2 linked regions of the Notamacropus eugenii genome follow. The protein of the gene in region 1 purifies or fractionates together with the protein of each later gene. This does not show direct contact. Links are inferred from orthologs where the notes say so. Each region holds a gene or a part of one and is shown on either strand. Other genes may lie near its edges.

Region 1 (8,841 bases):
AAAGCAACTTGCCCACGGTCACACATAGAGTAAGTTTCTGTGGTGGATGCTACACTAAAGTCTTACCTTGCTGTCTTACTGTGGCATCAAGATGATCTTGTTTTCTGAAAAATTCTGCCAGTGAAATACAAACTTCACTATGGCAGGTCACTCATAGATGGAAAGGTTTTGAGTCCTGGGATTGGTGATCATCTAAGAGCCAGTCTTGCTAAGTGGGGAGGATCATGGCCCAGAAAGATGTTGGATTTCTTAACCACAGGACCTCATGATCTAAGGTGTAAAGAAAAGAGTTGGGATTGGTATCAGTGGAAAGGGTCAGTGTGCTCACACCAATGGAGTCCTGGATCCCTGAAAGACAGAAGTAAACATAGGTGTATCCATGAAGGACTGCTCAAAAAAGGTCACGGTGCCAGCCAACCTTCCCCATCTCAAACTAGACACAGGAGTCAGATCCCAAGGATCACGTTCCCAAAGGCACTGGATTTGGAGTTAGGAATACTGGGCCTACCATCTATCAGTTTTTCACTTTTCCTTCTTGAACCTCAACTTCTTTATCTGTAAAATATGAATAACAATATTTGTCCTGTCTAACTATTGGAAGAAAAAATTACATAACAGAGGCATGAAATCTTCTTGTGAATTACAGCACTATATAATCTATGGCAGCTACCACCAGATTAAAATGTAATTGGGGAATAATAAAAAATAAAGATACAATAAAACATGAACCATATTATATTTTTAAACTAAGGCAATATGCCACCTCCAGGGGTCCTTAGGTAGGGTTTAGTGGTAATTTATGATTATTTGGCTCTGGAACCTTCTATAGCTCCCTACTTGCCTCCAAGATAGAAACAGAAATTCCTCAGCTTGGCATTTAAAACCATTAACAAACTGGCTCCAGCCTGCTTATTTCACATTATTCATTACTGAATCATAGATAGAAAAATCAGTCTAGAACTAGAAGAAACCTCAATGGCCACTGCTTTTTGTTACAGAGGCAAAAAGGCCTAGGGAGGTTGCCTTGCCCAAGTTCACACAGGAGATAAGCATCAAAATAAGGAATTGACCCCAGATCTTCTGGCTGCTGAACCAACACTCTCACCAGCCTATGCTCTGAATTCCAGCCCAACTGGTTTACCTGCTATTCCCAAAACTTGGCATTCCATCTTCTGCCTCCGTGGCTTTGCATGAGCTATCTTTCCACCCCTATGCCTAGAATGCACTTTGACCTCATTTTTACTTCTTAGAATCCCTAAATTCATTCAAGGCCAAGTTTAAGGTGACACCTCTTTCAAAAATCCTTCCCTGATCCCCTTGGCAATTAACGTGCTCTCCTTGCTCCTTAAATTATTATGTTACTTGTCATTTGTGTTCCCTGAACATGCAACATTAGCTCTTGAGGACAACTCTTGTTTCGTCCTTGTTTTCTTATGACCAGTGCCTAGCCCCCTGCCAGACTTGGGGTGTTTAATAAATGCTGATCAGTTTACGTGTATCCGTAAGTATAAGCTCCTAGAGTACCTAGAAGTAGACACTTAATACATGGCTTGCTGAGCACCTCCCTCCTCTCAGCTAACTATTGATGTGGAAAGTGATATATTTTTTTAGATATAATCACTATGTTTTGCTCAGTTGTTTTTCTTTGCTCTTTGGAACACAACAGCTCAGTGGCTGGTGAGGAGTGGCTTTGAGGAGAAATAACTGTTGTAAAAATTATAATGTTTTCAATTGGATTACATTATAATCATTTTGATTATATTACTTTTCAGGTGCTACATAGACAGATCTCACCTGGGAGTTCAAATGCCACAACTCCAACAGGCTTCTTCCTAAAAAGTAACTGATTGGAGGGACAGGAGACATGGAAGAGTCAGGTTGGCTAGGCTTTGAAAAGTCTCTAGGGACAATGGGGAACATTATTTTTGCATACCTTTGGCATTCTGGATTCAAGGAGAAATCTGCCAGTCACAGTGGGCTGATTGGGATGGAGTGATGGGCATAAAATGGGGTTGCTAAGCAGCAACAGATGACAAGCAGATATGAATGCTTGATTCTGGAATCTCCGAAAGCAGGGGGCAGGAACTGGGAGCAAAGGCCTAAGAGGCTTCCAAAGAACCAAGGCTATCTGTCATGTGGAGTTGCCAGGTATAACGAGAATAATCCTGTCTATACAAGAATTTAAACTTGGTTCTTTATTGTGTCTACCATCATTTGTGTGGATAGCGCCACTGAGGAATGCCTAGCCTCTTTGTGGTATTGTGATAGCACCGGAATTCGGACCAGATTTCCCTAAGATACTAGACCACAGTTTTAAAGGCAGGAGACGTGGAAATGAAAGCCTCAGCAGCGTCTGTGAGAACAAAGCATGAATTCAGTGAGCCCTGGCGAGCTACAGAGAGGCCTCTGCCAGGCAAGGATCTGGTGTAGGGAACTGAAGGGCAGCCAGTTCTCCTGGCAAAGCTGGTGGGGAAAGGGTGGGAGAAAGGCGATCACCAGGCTACCACAGGGTGGGAATGAGGGCCAGGGAGGCAAGCAGTCCAACAAGACACTTTTCTTCTCAAAGGAGGCAGAACCCTTCTTCATAATTTGTTTTTCTTTCTTGAAGGGGCAACACAAGGTGCCAGGCAAGTGGGTGCCAGCAATGAAAAAAGGAAACTCTCCCAGGCTGTGAGTCAGCCCTCATTCTGGGTGGTATTTATTGAAACAAAGTTCACAAGCCTGGGTCCTACTCTAGGGCTCTGAGCTAGGTTGTTTTCCCACTGGATCCAGTGGTAACCAACTTGACAGCAAAAACATGGGGGCCCTACGGGAGGGGGTGTGACAGGAAAGGAAAACAAAATTGTTTTCAGCAAGTAACGATTTGCCCTGGAGACTGGACTTTGGATTCCTCAGTCAGCTAAGCTGGGGCCTGACAGAGGGGCCCCAGGTTTCAGTGGTTGAGTGTGCCCTTCTCTATGGCTGATTTTGTGCATGATGGCAGCAGACTGTGGGTACCATCAGCTGTTTCCAGGCACCGACAGCTCCCTTCTCTCTCCTCCATCCTACCACCTGCCCTGTTAAGTGGGCTGTACAAGCACAAACTGCTCAAGGAAATTCAGGCATTGGTTTGTGTTATTTTGTGTTATGAATAACACTAAACCAATATTAACAGTCCTTTTTATTTTCCTAGAGACCAGCATTTTTATTAATTCAAAGTACTCTATACATTTTGGTGGTGCATATTTATTCACCTTTGTCCCTCACCTCATCCGAACCTTTAAGGCAGTAGGTTGGGGCACAAAGAAGCCAGAGATTTTCTAAAGGTCACATAATATGTCAGTAGAATTAGGATTAAAACACAAGGGAAGCCATCTCCTACTTTGGTATGTTTCTTGTATGGTTCTGTTGTTTCTTATGCCTCTGAAGATCTGAAATAGTTAAAATTTTCTCTTCAATGCTGACAGGATACCCTGTTAACCCTGGAAACCCATACTCTCTCCTGATCCAGTGGGTACCACGCAGTCTAGCTAATCTTTTTAACGTTTTCTTCTGTTGCCTTTCCTAGGAACTCTAGCTTTGATAAGGGATAAAGATAGCCACTGTTTGTCTTCCATTTCTCCTTCTCCATAGCTTTAGCAGGTTTGCAGTTCTCATCTCTGCCTTCCAAGATTTTCTTCACCAAAATCCTACATTTCTTTTAAGATTCAGTTCAAGATTTGACCTTCTCTAGTCAAGAAGTCAAATCAACAAGCATTTAAGTGCCTACTGTGTGCCAAGCACCAGTCTTCTATGATGCTTTCTTAGCCTAACCTTATTCTATAATAACTTTTCCCTTTTATATTACATTATTATTTCATATAAGTTATCTTCTTCCCAACTAGATCATCAACTCCTTAAAGACAGACTGCTACTCTATCCAGCTATTTATTTAATTGTAATAAAGATGCTTGAAAAGTAAATTTTCATGAATGGTGTATCATCTTTGTCTGTTACTAGTTGCATGATGTTTGGCAAATTAATCTCTAGGGCATCTATATTCCCTCCTTTGTAAAACGAAAGGGACTGACTAGATAGATGCTTGATATTTCCTTCAGCTCTAACACTCTGATTCTACCTGTTTATGTTATTATATTTCTAATTATCGGTTATATCCATCCCTAACGAAAGTGCTACAAATGAGGTAGTGTACATAAAGTGCTTTGCAAACATTAAAGTGCTGTATATGATGCTAGCCATTTTGTTACAACAGGGTCTGGCTATTTTGGAATATATCCCATGCATGACAACCTTATCTATAAGCAAACTCCAGTGGCTTCCTGTTCGTTACCTCCAGGAGCCAATACGAGATGCTCTGTTGGGCATTCTTGCCTTTCTGATCTTTTTACACTGAATTCCATCCCAAGCCTGCACAATCTGCAGCCTATGGGCTCCTTGTAGAATGCCAACAGTTTCAATGTCATCTCCATGGGTGCCTGCGTGACAGACTGGATTCCATCTGTCCATCACTGGCTCAGTCTACAGTCATAACACCGATGTGATTTTTTTCAAGACCGAGGTCCTATGTTTTATGGCCAGATAGAGGCAATGAAGAACTCCTGCAGGCTAAGGCAGCTCCGTGCCAAGCCCTGGCTGGTGGAGCTCCCCAAGCTGCCAAGGCTCCGGGTATGATCTGGTAGGGAGGGGGGGCTGTCCCAGAACCAGCCTAATAAAATCGGAGGGTCTGCGGGTGGATTCGTTTTTCGCCACAGTCATTCTGGAAAACCATCGAGTCCTAAATGGGTTTCGATCCGCATGCATCTGGGGAGGGCATCATGACAGCCCACTATTGCTGAGCTCCTCCCAAGCCTTGCCTAGCTGCAGCACTGTGCCTAGCACGTGGGCGGAGCTGAATACACGCGGGTCGACCCACGGCCGATCGCGGAATTCGGAGGTAACTGGCCGCCTGGGTCCGGTTCCAGTTCTGCCAGGGTCACAAGACGATGGTTTCTGTCCTTCCGTGGGTCGATCTGCTAATTGAGAACTATGGCCTTCCTCTCGCGCGTTTCCCCGGACGTGCTTCGGGGCAGTTCAGAGCTGTATCTGAATATCATGCGTGCCATCGCGGTCACGCCAAACCATCTTCGCTGAGTTTCCGCAGGTCATCTTGGAAACTTCGGCTTGGGCCCCACCGTCTTCGTTCATTTACAAGGTGAAAAGTGCCCAAGCACCCTCTGCTGGTCCTCGCAAGCAGAGTTGGGGCACTGGCAAGCGGAGGGAACCATTGGTGCAACGAGGGGGGACTTTTGATGGTGGGGGGTAATCGGAAGGGTTACCTTTAATTAATGGATATTCCCCTCAAAAAGAGCATGGTAAGGTAAAATCACAAATGACGTCGGTGTGTTATAACTGGAGAAGGAAAGTAGCGAAAGGCACAGGTTGAGTAAAGATGGTTTGCTTGTCCCCTTCCCGTTTTTGTCCCTTTGGTATAGCCCAGAGAGAATGTCAACAGCCTGGCTGCCTCCGGTAATGGGGATTTCTGGGACATGTAGTTCCAAGGGCGAGATTTCCGCGTTGTGAGGCGGAACCCTTAGCAGCGAGAGAACTTTCTTTCCCATAGTTCTTTGGGACAGGGAGAGGGAGGAGAGAAGGCCGTGGCGTAGCGGCCAGCCGTCGCGATGGGGGTGGGGAGAAGGGGGCCGAGCCGCCGCCGCCGTCGCCGCCGCCGCCGCTGTCGCCGCAGTCGCAGTGGGTGTTTGTGTTTGGGGCCGGGCAGCTTGGACCGCAGCCGGATTATGTCCGTGTGAGGATCTCCCGGCACCCCGCGGCCGTCCGGAGCCTCTGCCAGCCCTCCCTCCACCCCTGGCGCCATGGGGTCCATCCTAAGCCGCCGGATCGCCGGGGTGGAGGACATCGACATCCAGGCGAACTCGGCCTATCGGTACCCTCCCAAGTCCGGTGAGAAGCCAGCTCTTCCTCCCCAGCCCCGGCCGGCCCGCGGCAGAGCCTCGTTGTCGGTCCCTCCTCGTGCTCCCCTCCCCGCCCTCAGTGGCCTTTCCTGGCCGGGCTGTCCCCTGTGCCCCCTCCCCCCTGCTGTGGCCCTCTCTAACCCCAACCCGGGGGCCCCGGCCCGAGGACAGATTCCTGGTCCAGCAATCTGGATGCGTGCATCCCGGGCAGGCTCCTCCGTGGTGCCATGGTGGGCACCTTGTACCCCCACTGTCCTCAGGCTTCTGGCCCTGACCCGGGAATAAGAAACCCACTGATTGACGCAGAACCCAAATACTCACCTTCTGCCAAGCTGGAGCCAAGACAGAGAGGCCGTCCCTCCCCCCTCGTCCGCTTAAATAAAGCCCCAATGGGAAACATCCCTAAAAACCATTCAGGCTAGCACCAAACTGGAAGGCAGGGGTATCATTTGAAGCCACTCTAGCTTCTGGGTTGTGGTTGGGTTTCGTGAATCCGTTCCCAGGACTTAGGAGCGCTGGAGCTCACCTGCTGTCATCCTTGAGCCCTCATAGATTGTGACTTAGAGGGGACTTTTCAGCTGTGACCCTCTACGGATGGGGAAACTGAAGTCACTGGGACTTAAGTGACTCAAGGTCACACAGAAAGGAGGTGGGAGTCAGAATTGAAGGTCCTCTGATTCCTTATCCAGTACTTTGTCCCCATCGGTAGGGAGCCTTATCTAATCCCTACCACCTCAATGAAGACTTTGAGGTTATTATTGGGGCGTCCTATCTATTTGGCCCTGTGCCTACCCCTCCTTGAAATACTACTAGAGCCGCTGTGGATGCCACTTGGCCATCCTTAATTTCCCCTAATTCTAGGTCCATAGTCTTACCCATCTTTCCCTTCAGCCAATTTGTCATTGAGCCCAAAGTATTTTTCCTTTTGCTCAGATCTCTTCAATCTGCCATTTTTCGGGGGTTTCCCCCACTGCAGCAGATCCAAGTTGGCAAAATTTGGGCATTATTTCAAATTTTCTAGGGCTCACAAAAGTAGGGATAGGGGTGAGTGGGCCTATTCTCATAGCCATTAACAAATAAAACAAAGAAAAGAAGCCATAGGGGGTGGGTATAGAGGAACTCAGATTCCCCCAAATCTTCCATGCTTTAAATATTCCTTGAACAAGGTGCTGATTTGGGAGGATAGTAAAAGGGCACTGTGGAACTGTTTGTAGGGGAGGGACTGGATTTGTGAGGAAAGCTGATTTTTTTCCCAGGATATTGCTATGATCTTCAGGCACAGGGAGAACGTTTTGGCTTCTAGGTACCTGGTGAAATTCATTGGCCATTATCTTAGTGCCCTTGTGTCCCTAGGTGGTCGTGCTGAAGGATAGTGGATATGTCCATGTACTTTATACTCTCTTACCACACACGGTGCCAGAGAGACAACTGCAAAACTGCTCTGTTATCAGCCTTAGGTTGTGCAGGGTTCATTGCAACTGATCAGAAGTTTCCTAACATCTGCCACAGAATGAATAGTTCATTCTTTAAAAGAAAGTTAATCTATCTCAGAATTCTAAAGTGGATGAAAAGCGTTTTTTGATTGTTGTTTTTTCACACTGGGCAAAGCCAAAGGAGTCCCTGGTTTTTGTAATCTCTGGCACCAGATGCTCTTTGCCTTGTCAGGTAATCAGTTCTGTATATAATATAAGTGATTTTAAGGATTCAGAATGATCACTCCCCTTTTGGGGTCTGCCAATCTCAAGACTCATGCGTTATTTTCAAATAATTTTCTCTACTGATCTGCTTTCTGTCACAGAGAGTTTCTGTGATTGTTTCCCTTCCTAGACCTTGTCTCTTGTATGGGTCTCATGGCTCCTACCATGTAGAATTGGAGAGGTGGATGGATGGATGGATGGATGGATGGATGGATGGATGGATAGATAGGTTATTCATTATGTGCCAGAGGCTATGCTAAGCATTGGGGATACAGATGCAAGCAGAAAAAACAATCTTTGCCTTCAAGGAACTTTTATTCTACTGACTGAAGATGTCATGTAAATGGGAGTTAGAAAGTAAGAGATACATACTCTAGTATGGAGGTGACTAAGAAGTGTTGTGGAGGCCTGCTTCCTAGCAAGGTAAGGCAAATGATTGCCTTTCAGAACTAGAGGAGTTAGGAGGGAAGTTCAAGGCTGCAATGGAGTTAAGATGAGATTGATGACTGGAGCATAGGCAGCATGATGAGGAATTGTCTGCGAAGTGGGTATTAGGATTTTTCCAAATTCTGCAAGAGAATTTTCAATAGCTGCAAACCTAAGTTGAATGGATGATACAGTATGGCCAATCCAGAAACTTAGGACCCTTTTCTTCAGATGTCCTCAGTTTCCTTCTCTCTCTTCTTGGGGTTAAGAAATCACAAGTGTTAGCTGACCTCTCTTTTAGCATTATAAATAAGTACTAAAAACTTAATTACTAGTTCAAATTTTTCCCAGCCTACTCTTGAGGATTTTAGATGGTCATAAATTAAAATTGACACTCTCTATCACCCCTTTGATATAAAGTGGTTACTTACCTTATGTGAGGGGGTGAGTGGCAGGGTCTGTCCGTGGGACATTTGTCAGGAGATCTGACACAAAGTGATACGTTTTCTTCCTTCCTGAGTGAAGAGAGGGAGAACTATTGGTCTGAGATTTGGGGACCTGCTTGGCCTGTTTTATGAAATTCCTCACAATAACTTCTTGTGAAGTGTTTGTGACCACACATTAGTTGGGGGCATGGTACTGAAGATATATAGATATAGATTTACATACATGCATATACATATACATATATAAAATTTTATATATAATAAACATGTAATATGATATATAAATAAAAACCCATCTTTTGCTTGAAACCGTACTATTGAAAGTGGCCCTAAGGGAAGATAGAT
Region 2 (7,176 bases), about 630 Mb from region 1:
TTAGCACAGTACCTGAGATAGAGTAAATGCTTAGAAGAAATGTTTTTTTAATTCATTCCTTCATGGTGGGCAATACATAACAAATGAACAGTTGGAAGTGGTTTGAAGTATATTATCAGAAAAACAATTTGGGGGAAAAAAAAGGGGCCAGTCATGTAGCAAATATGAGAGACAATTAATGGACCATCCATGTGTTCTGTTGGTATCCCTGGACTTCAGGGGAACTTGAAGAGGGGTCTCAGCAGGTTGAGTGGTGAATTCACCCTCTGGTGAAATTATGGGAGGACATGGATGAGAGCCTTAGAGACTAACCAAACATGGGCTGGTTACCATCTGCATTGTGGGAAGGAGTGTTCACATCTATATATGCTGGAAGCATTAGAGACGATACATTGAGTAGATCTTACAAGTTCCTTTTCTGGCTATTTCACTACTCAGAATTCTGCTCAGGAAGTACATTGCCAATAAAGGGAACCAGAGCAAAAGGAGACAAAACTCAGATCTGTCAGTACCTCTGGTGAAAGACTTAGTAGGAAAGACAGTTGAAGTATTGGGTTGCAATTATCTGTAAATTCCGCTTATATATGTCCTCATGACAATGGGCAAATGCTCTGCCCCTGGCCTTCAGTAGTCCTAATGGAGTGACCATATTTATCCTAATGAAAATTAGTGTAATGTGGCTGTCCTGAGGCAAGATTACCCGGTCTTAGTTGCCCACTGGCCAGGGTTTCGCCAGGAAGAGGCTGCGGTCAGCTTTCTGCCAAAGGTTGTCCCATTCTCACGCTCTTTGAAGTCTATGTGCCTTGGTGGGTGGGGAGCATCGACGTCAAAGGTCTCATTTATGGATTGAAAATATCACTGAAACTCAGGGACAGCTCCTTTCTACAGCAGTCAGAGACAGGAAAGCTGAAAGAGGAGTCCTTTGGTTCTGATTCTGCATCATGCTCTAGATACAAAGAATGATTTGAGTTATTACTGTACTGTTTAGACCTTTAGAGATGAACTGGGATAGGAGTCTCTTAGGCTTCCTATTGGGAAGGAAAAAGTGACAAACCCAAGGAGGGATTGTCTAACCTAGGGGAGCCAGCTTTCGATGGTCCTGATGTCCCAGCATGGCTGCAGAAGTCAGAGGAAAGAGCTGAGAGATCTCAGAGTTCACCTTGACCACCTTTCCCCCTCCTTCCACCCTTAGTTTTCAGATGTGTAACCTCAGGCTCAGAGAACTGAGGTCATTTGCCCTAGGTAACAACTAAATGATTGGGGAATTAGGAAGATAGCATTGGTATGTCATGATGCTCTGGGTTCTTTCCCCTTTGACAATTTCTTTTTAAACCAGGAAGGAAAAGGGTTAAAATGGTAGATGATAGGATTTAGAGTTAAAAGATCAGCTAGACATTATACAAAGCCCTTTACAAATATTCTCATTTGATCCTCACAACAGCCCTGGGAGGCAGGTGCTATTATGATTCCCATTTTACAGTTAAGCAATCAGGCAGACAGAGACAAGTGACTGGGATGGAGGTTTGGGAGAACTAATATGGCTATATGGAAGGGACACATCTCCACGGGATGGTCTGATGCTTTCCTTAGGTGTGTCATAGACTGGAAAAGATTGAGACACAGTGATGTGAAACATGAAATCAGATATTTTGGATGGGACATCAATAATTGAGTTCTGTTTCTAACTGCACCTCTGACTTATGACTTGGAATAAGTCACTTTATCTTTGTCTCAGTTTTCCTATCTGCAAAAATGAGGCTAATAACCCCATTCCTTGTGAGAATCAATGTAATTATAGATGTGAAAATGCTTTGAGCTCTTTGGAAGAAAGACAGTAGGGGTAATTCCCTGTCATCACACTACCCTCCCTGTGGGCACTCTCTGCTCTGCCATGAATGATTTTCAGTGTAACATGCTCAGCTTCTGGCTAACTAGTGCTGGAGCCGAGGAGTCTAGGTTTGATGTGACTCTTTCCCTGGGGCCAATGTGGTCTTGCTGGTCAGTGGAAATGAATGAATAGAGAGAGAGCTGTTGCTGGCCTTCATCCCAAACAAACCCTTGCTTTGGGTTGAGGAGTGTAAGCCAAAAAGTCATATATCAGAGAATGTTCCAAATTACTAATGATAATAGAAATGCAAATTAAAGCAAATCGGATCCCAGTTCACATCCTACAGATGGGCAAAAATGAGACAGGTACATTAATGCATCATTGGTAAAGCTGTGAATCGATCCAACTCTTTTAGAAGACAATTTGGAATTCTAAAAAAATAACTAAACTATACATAACCTTTGACCTGGCAATAAAAATGTTAGGAATATTCCCCCAAGAGGGTCTCAAAGATAAAATAGCAAAGACCTGAAGGAATATAGGTGCCTAAGTTGGGCTGAGCAAACAGTGGAATAGGAATGGAGTGGAATATAATTAAACTATCAAAAATGGCAAAGGGGAAGAACTCAGAGACTTTGGGGCAGATTTGAATGAACTGATGCAGAATGAAGTAAGCAAAGGCAGAACAGAGAGGGAACAAAGGAGAACAACACCGAAAAAACTTCATCAGTGACTAATCCCATGTTCCATTGTGTCTTCCAAGTAAGGGGAAGTGTGCCTCCCATCTCAGAGATAACAAAGGAGAGGTATAGAATGAGACATCAGTTTTCAGACCTGACTATGGCATCAATTTATTTTGCTCAACTAGATTTATTTATTATAAGAGAGGATCCTACTGTTGAGAGGGATGGAATTATTGGGAAGTGACAGTGATATAACAAATGAAAAAATTCATCAATAAAACATTTTTAATAAGAAAAAAGTGCTAGCTACGGATAGCACAATGGTGCATGGCCAACCACCCCCAAGCAAACCAAGCCAGAAGGTCCTCTTGTTGTTAAGCACTCCTTACATGTGTTGCATTCTTGGGCTTATGTTCAGTGGAGGGACAGTTGGTGCATGTTTTTTTGTTCACAGGTGATTGTGCCCTCAATGCAGCCTCTGAAGCTGAGAAGCCACAAAGTATGGACCAATTCTCTGCTGCTTGTGCTAATTTTGGCCTAACAATTAACCACCAAGAAAACACAGGTTCTCCATCTGCCAGCACTACATCATCCATATGTAGAACCCTCAGTTACAGCAAATGGAGAAGTTTTGAATACTGTGGATAAATTTACTTATCTTGACACTATACTTTCCAGGGATGTACACATTGATAATGAGGTTGACACACGCATTGCCAGAGCCAGCTCAGTGTTTGGGAGGCTCCAAAGGAAAAGGGAAGAGAACAGTATTCGACTATACCAAACGGAAGGTCTACAGAGCCGTTGTGCTGACCTCATTATTGTATGCCCATGAAACCTGGACCATTTACCTGCACCATGCCAGGAATCTGAATTGCTTCCATCTGAATTATCTTACAATGATTCTGAAGATCATTTGGCAGGATAAGGTACCAGACAATGAAGTCCTTTCTTGAACCAAACTGTCAAGCATTCAAAATCTTCTGCAGGGAGTACAACTCCAATAGGCTGGCCACATTGTTTGAATGTCAAACATACGCTTGCCTGAAAGATTATTTTATGGAGAACTCACACAAGGCAGATGTTCACATGCTGGTCAGACAAAGCGATACAAGGACACTTTCAAGGTCTCTCTGAAGAACTTTAGAATCAATTGTAAGATAAGGGAGACACTGGCACAGAACCACCCAGCATGGTGTGCCCCTATCAGAGAAAGTGTTGTTGTGCTCTATGAACAAAGCAGAATTGAAATAGCTTGAAAGAATTGTGAGATGTGTAAATTTAGAGAATCCACCCCAAACGTTTGAGCTCATATTAGTCTATTCAGCCACAGTTGGACACACTGTAACTTAACTCTAACACAGTGAGGTCATTTTGTTCCTCTGGACAAGCGTTGCTTCAATGGTATGCACCATTTCAATTTGCAGGTGAAGATGGTCACTTTCTTTTCATTTTGGCCTAGTGTTAATTTTCAGGGTAGAATGTGTCTAAGGTCTTGGGCTAGAGATCTCAGATAAATGAATAGAGCTCTACTGGTTGGAAAAGAGAGGCAAACTAATTATTTGAATAATGAACTGGGACTCTACAATTCTTTCTAACTTCCGTAGTATTGCCGCCTCATCAAATACAATTATGAAGCCCTTTCTCTCCTCCTGGGACTTAAGAGAATTAACAGAAAGGCTCCATATGAGCTTAACCTTTAGGGTTCACAGAATCTTAACGTTGAGAAGGTCTTTGGAAATTATCTCTTCCAAACTGGGACCTCAGTGCAGGAATTCCCTCTACAGTATAGCTGACAGTTGAGTCATCTAGCCTCTGCTCAAATACTTCTAGTTCTGGGAAACCTACTCTAACAAGGTAACCCAATCTAATTTATAGGCAATTCCCACTGCCTTAAAAATCTTAATTTTAAACTGAAGCCAATCTTCCTGTAATAATTCAGTGTTCCTAGTTTGGACCTCCCAGGCACTGCTTCTTTGGGTTCAGAGCCCCTGGTACCAAGTGAGAGTATCCTTGGTTTTACTGTCAGCTACCTGAATCTAGCAGGCAGTACCTACAAGACATTTATGTAAGGTCTTGAACTTCCTCAGCTCTAACAAGTTTCATAACTAATCACTCTGCTGTGCTGGGCATTCCCTGCATGAGCCGCTATCATGTGGTCAATCAGCCTCCTTTGAAGGAGGGGCTCCACAGACTGTCTTTAAAGGAAGGGGGAGAGAGGCTTCATTCTTCACTGGAACATCAACTCCAATCCACTTCTTTGGACCAAGACTGAGGGCTGCGCCTGGAGTTGCCAGGGGATGCAGAAACCGAGGAGATGTGGACCTCATATCCTACTGGCTTGTTCACTTCACCCAGCTAAGGAAAAGAGATGAAAAAGCCAAGAGGAAAAAAAGAAAGAAAGAAAGAAACTTCCGTTCCTGTGGAGCAAAACAACCTGTGGGAGCAGGCAGAAGAGAAAAGTGCACAGATTGAGAATTTAGGTTTGTTCAGGCAGGAAATTTGAGACTCTCTGGGTCCTGGAGTCAAGCAGTAGAGAAAGGATGAGTAGGCAACATTGGACGTGACATGGGTTTATCGCAACCTCCATTGGGCTAATGAGATCAGTAGGATGTCTTTTGATGGGTTAGAGAAATAATGAGTATGCATTGGATTTGGTGGCTGTGATTTTTGTCTGAGACCAAAGGGGGAGGGAGGAGGAAAGAAACATTGGAGATTCCTCTGGACACTAACTGATGAGAACAATGAACTGAAACAGCAACAGGCAGCTGCTGGACCTTGAGAAAGCCCTCCAGGGTAGGAATTTGAAAATTCCAGTTCATCCATGTTGCCAGCTTCACATTCATAGCTCCCTGCTCTTAACCCGGAACTATGCCGATGCCAGGTCAACAGAAGAGATTGTTTAACTCTCTGAACTCCACTTCTCCAGATACCCTCCATCAAGTTATCCCCACCAACCAGACAGATATTCTGTGCCAGGGGTTCTTCATTCCAGATGAGTTATTCTTGACTCTGGGGCTACTGAGCCTGGTGGAGAATGTCATGGTGGTGGTGGCCATCATCAAGAACCACAACCTCCACTCACCCATGTACTATTTTGTCTGCTGCTTGGCTCTATCAGATCTTCTGGTGAGTGTCAGCAACCTGCTGGAGACCTTGGTGGTGCTACTGCTGGAGAAAGGGGTGCTGGTGATGCAGACATCTATGGTGCAACAGCTTGAAAATGTCATTGATGTGTTGATCTGTAGTTCCATGATGTCCTCAATTTCCTTCCTAGGAACCATTGCGGTGGATCGCTACATCAGTATCTTCTATGCCCTGCGCTACCACAGCATTGTCACCCCTTGTCGAGCTCAAGGAGTCCTTGCTGGCATCTGGGTGTTCAGTGCCCTCTCCGGTACCCTCTTCATCTCCTATTACAACCATGTTGTAGTCCTGCTCTGTCTCATTGGCTTCTTCTTGTCTATGTTGGGGCTCATGGTCGTCCTCTACATTCACATGTTTATCCAGTCATGCCAGCATGCCAGGAGGATTGCTCAGTTGCACAAGAGATATACCATTCACCAATTTTCAATCCTCAAGGGGGCTGTCACCCTCACAATCCTGTTGGGCATCTTCTTCCTCTGCTGGGCCCCCTTTTTTCTGCATCTCACGCTTATTGTCCTCTGTCCCAAGCATCCCACATGCAGCTGCTACTTCCAGAACTTCAACCTCTTTCTCATCCTCATCATCTGCAACTCAGTTATTGACCCTCTCATCTATGCCTTCCGCAGCCAGGAGCTCCGCAAGACACTCAAGGAGGTGATTCTGTGTTCCTGGTAAGGGGGTGGGGCGGCATTGCAAATTCCCATGCATGCAGGCATGACTCAGTGGGACAGAGGTGCAAAATGTAACCAAGGAGAGTAGCTTCTCATCTGCAGATGTTCTGGTTAGTGGGCACAACCTGTTCTATCCCATGGTGAAGAGGAATATGCATCATTAGTCAGCCTGGCATCCAACTTCTGAATTGCCTTTTTGAGAAGGATGATGAGATGGAATGTGTGTGTGTGTGTGTGTGTGTGTGTGTGTGTGTATGTATGAGAGAGAGAGAGAGAGACACTATGCACGTGTGCATTTTCAATTTTCAATTTTACTCATGTGCTTAGGTATGCACACACATGGATGCTCAGGTGTGCACATAATATACAACAGGAACAGGAGAACACTCTTCTGCATCTAATCCACTTTTCTCCTCCATTTGAGAATAAGCTTTTCAGCCCCATCCCCAAAGCCTTGAAATTCAGTTTGTTACTGATATGAGTACCTGGAGACCTGTTCCCTCCCCATCCCAGTCTGCTAAGGATACTGCATCTAGGAGGCAGGGCCAGGACACTCCAGATTGGAAAGAAGATACCTCAACAATAGCCTGGAGTCATGAAAAAGCATTTGGAGTATTCCCACCCCTCCTACCTCCCCACCCAGCTCCAAGATATTGAAGACTCATAGGACATGCAGTCATGTGGGATGCCAGTAGTAACCAGGGACAGATGACTGGGAGTACTACTATGGAAGTTCCACTCCCAACTTGGCCACTTGACTCTGACTCCCCTGCTTTTGACCATACCATCGGCTTGTAACTGACTTGACCTGGCTGGGTTAGTGACTGTTACTGAGGCTGTGTGGGAA

What was found.
Region 2: the proteins of MGRN1 (region 1) and MC1R purify together in Homo sapiens (affinity purification with western blotting; 3 studies listed by BioGRID). This does not show direct contact. The link is inferred for Notamacropus eugenii from reciprocal best matches to the Homo sapiens genes MGRN1 and MC1R.

What each region holds. Positions count from the first base shown.
Region 1 is NC_092872.1:81,887,361-81,896,201, forward strand, and holds the start of MGRN1 (E3 ubiquitin-protein ligase MGRN1), read left to right. Parts: upstream 1-5,626; 5' UTR 5,627-5,828; coding exon 5,829-5,916; intron 5,917-8,841. UniProt on the Homo sapiens protein: E3 ubiquitin-protein ligase. Mediates monoubiquitination at multiple sites of TSG101 in the presence of UBE2D1, but not of UBE2G1, nor UBE2H. Plays a role in the regulation of endosome-to-lysosome trafficking.
Region 2 is NC_092872.1:707,868,670-707,875,845, forward strand, and holds MC1R (melanocyte-stimulating hormone receptor), read left to right. Parts: upstream 1-5,301; 5' UTR 5,302-5,382; coding exon 5,383-6,333; 3' UTR 6,334-6,419; downstream 6,420-7,176. UniProt on the Homo sapiens protein: Receptor for MSH (alpha, beta and gamma) and ACTH. The activity of this receptor is mediated by G proteins which activate adenylate cyclase.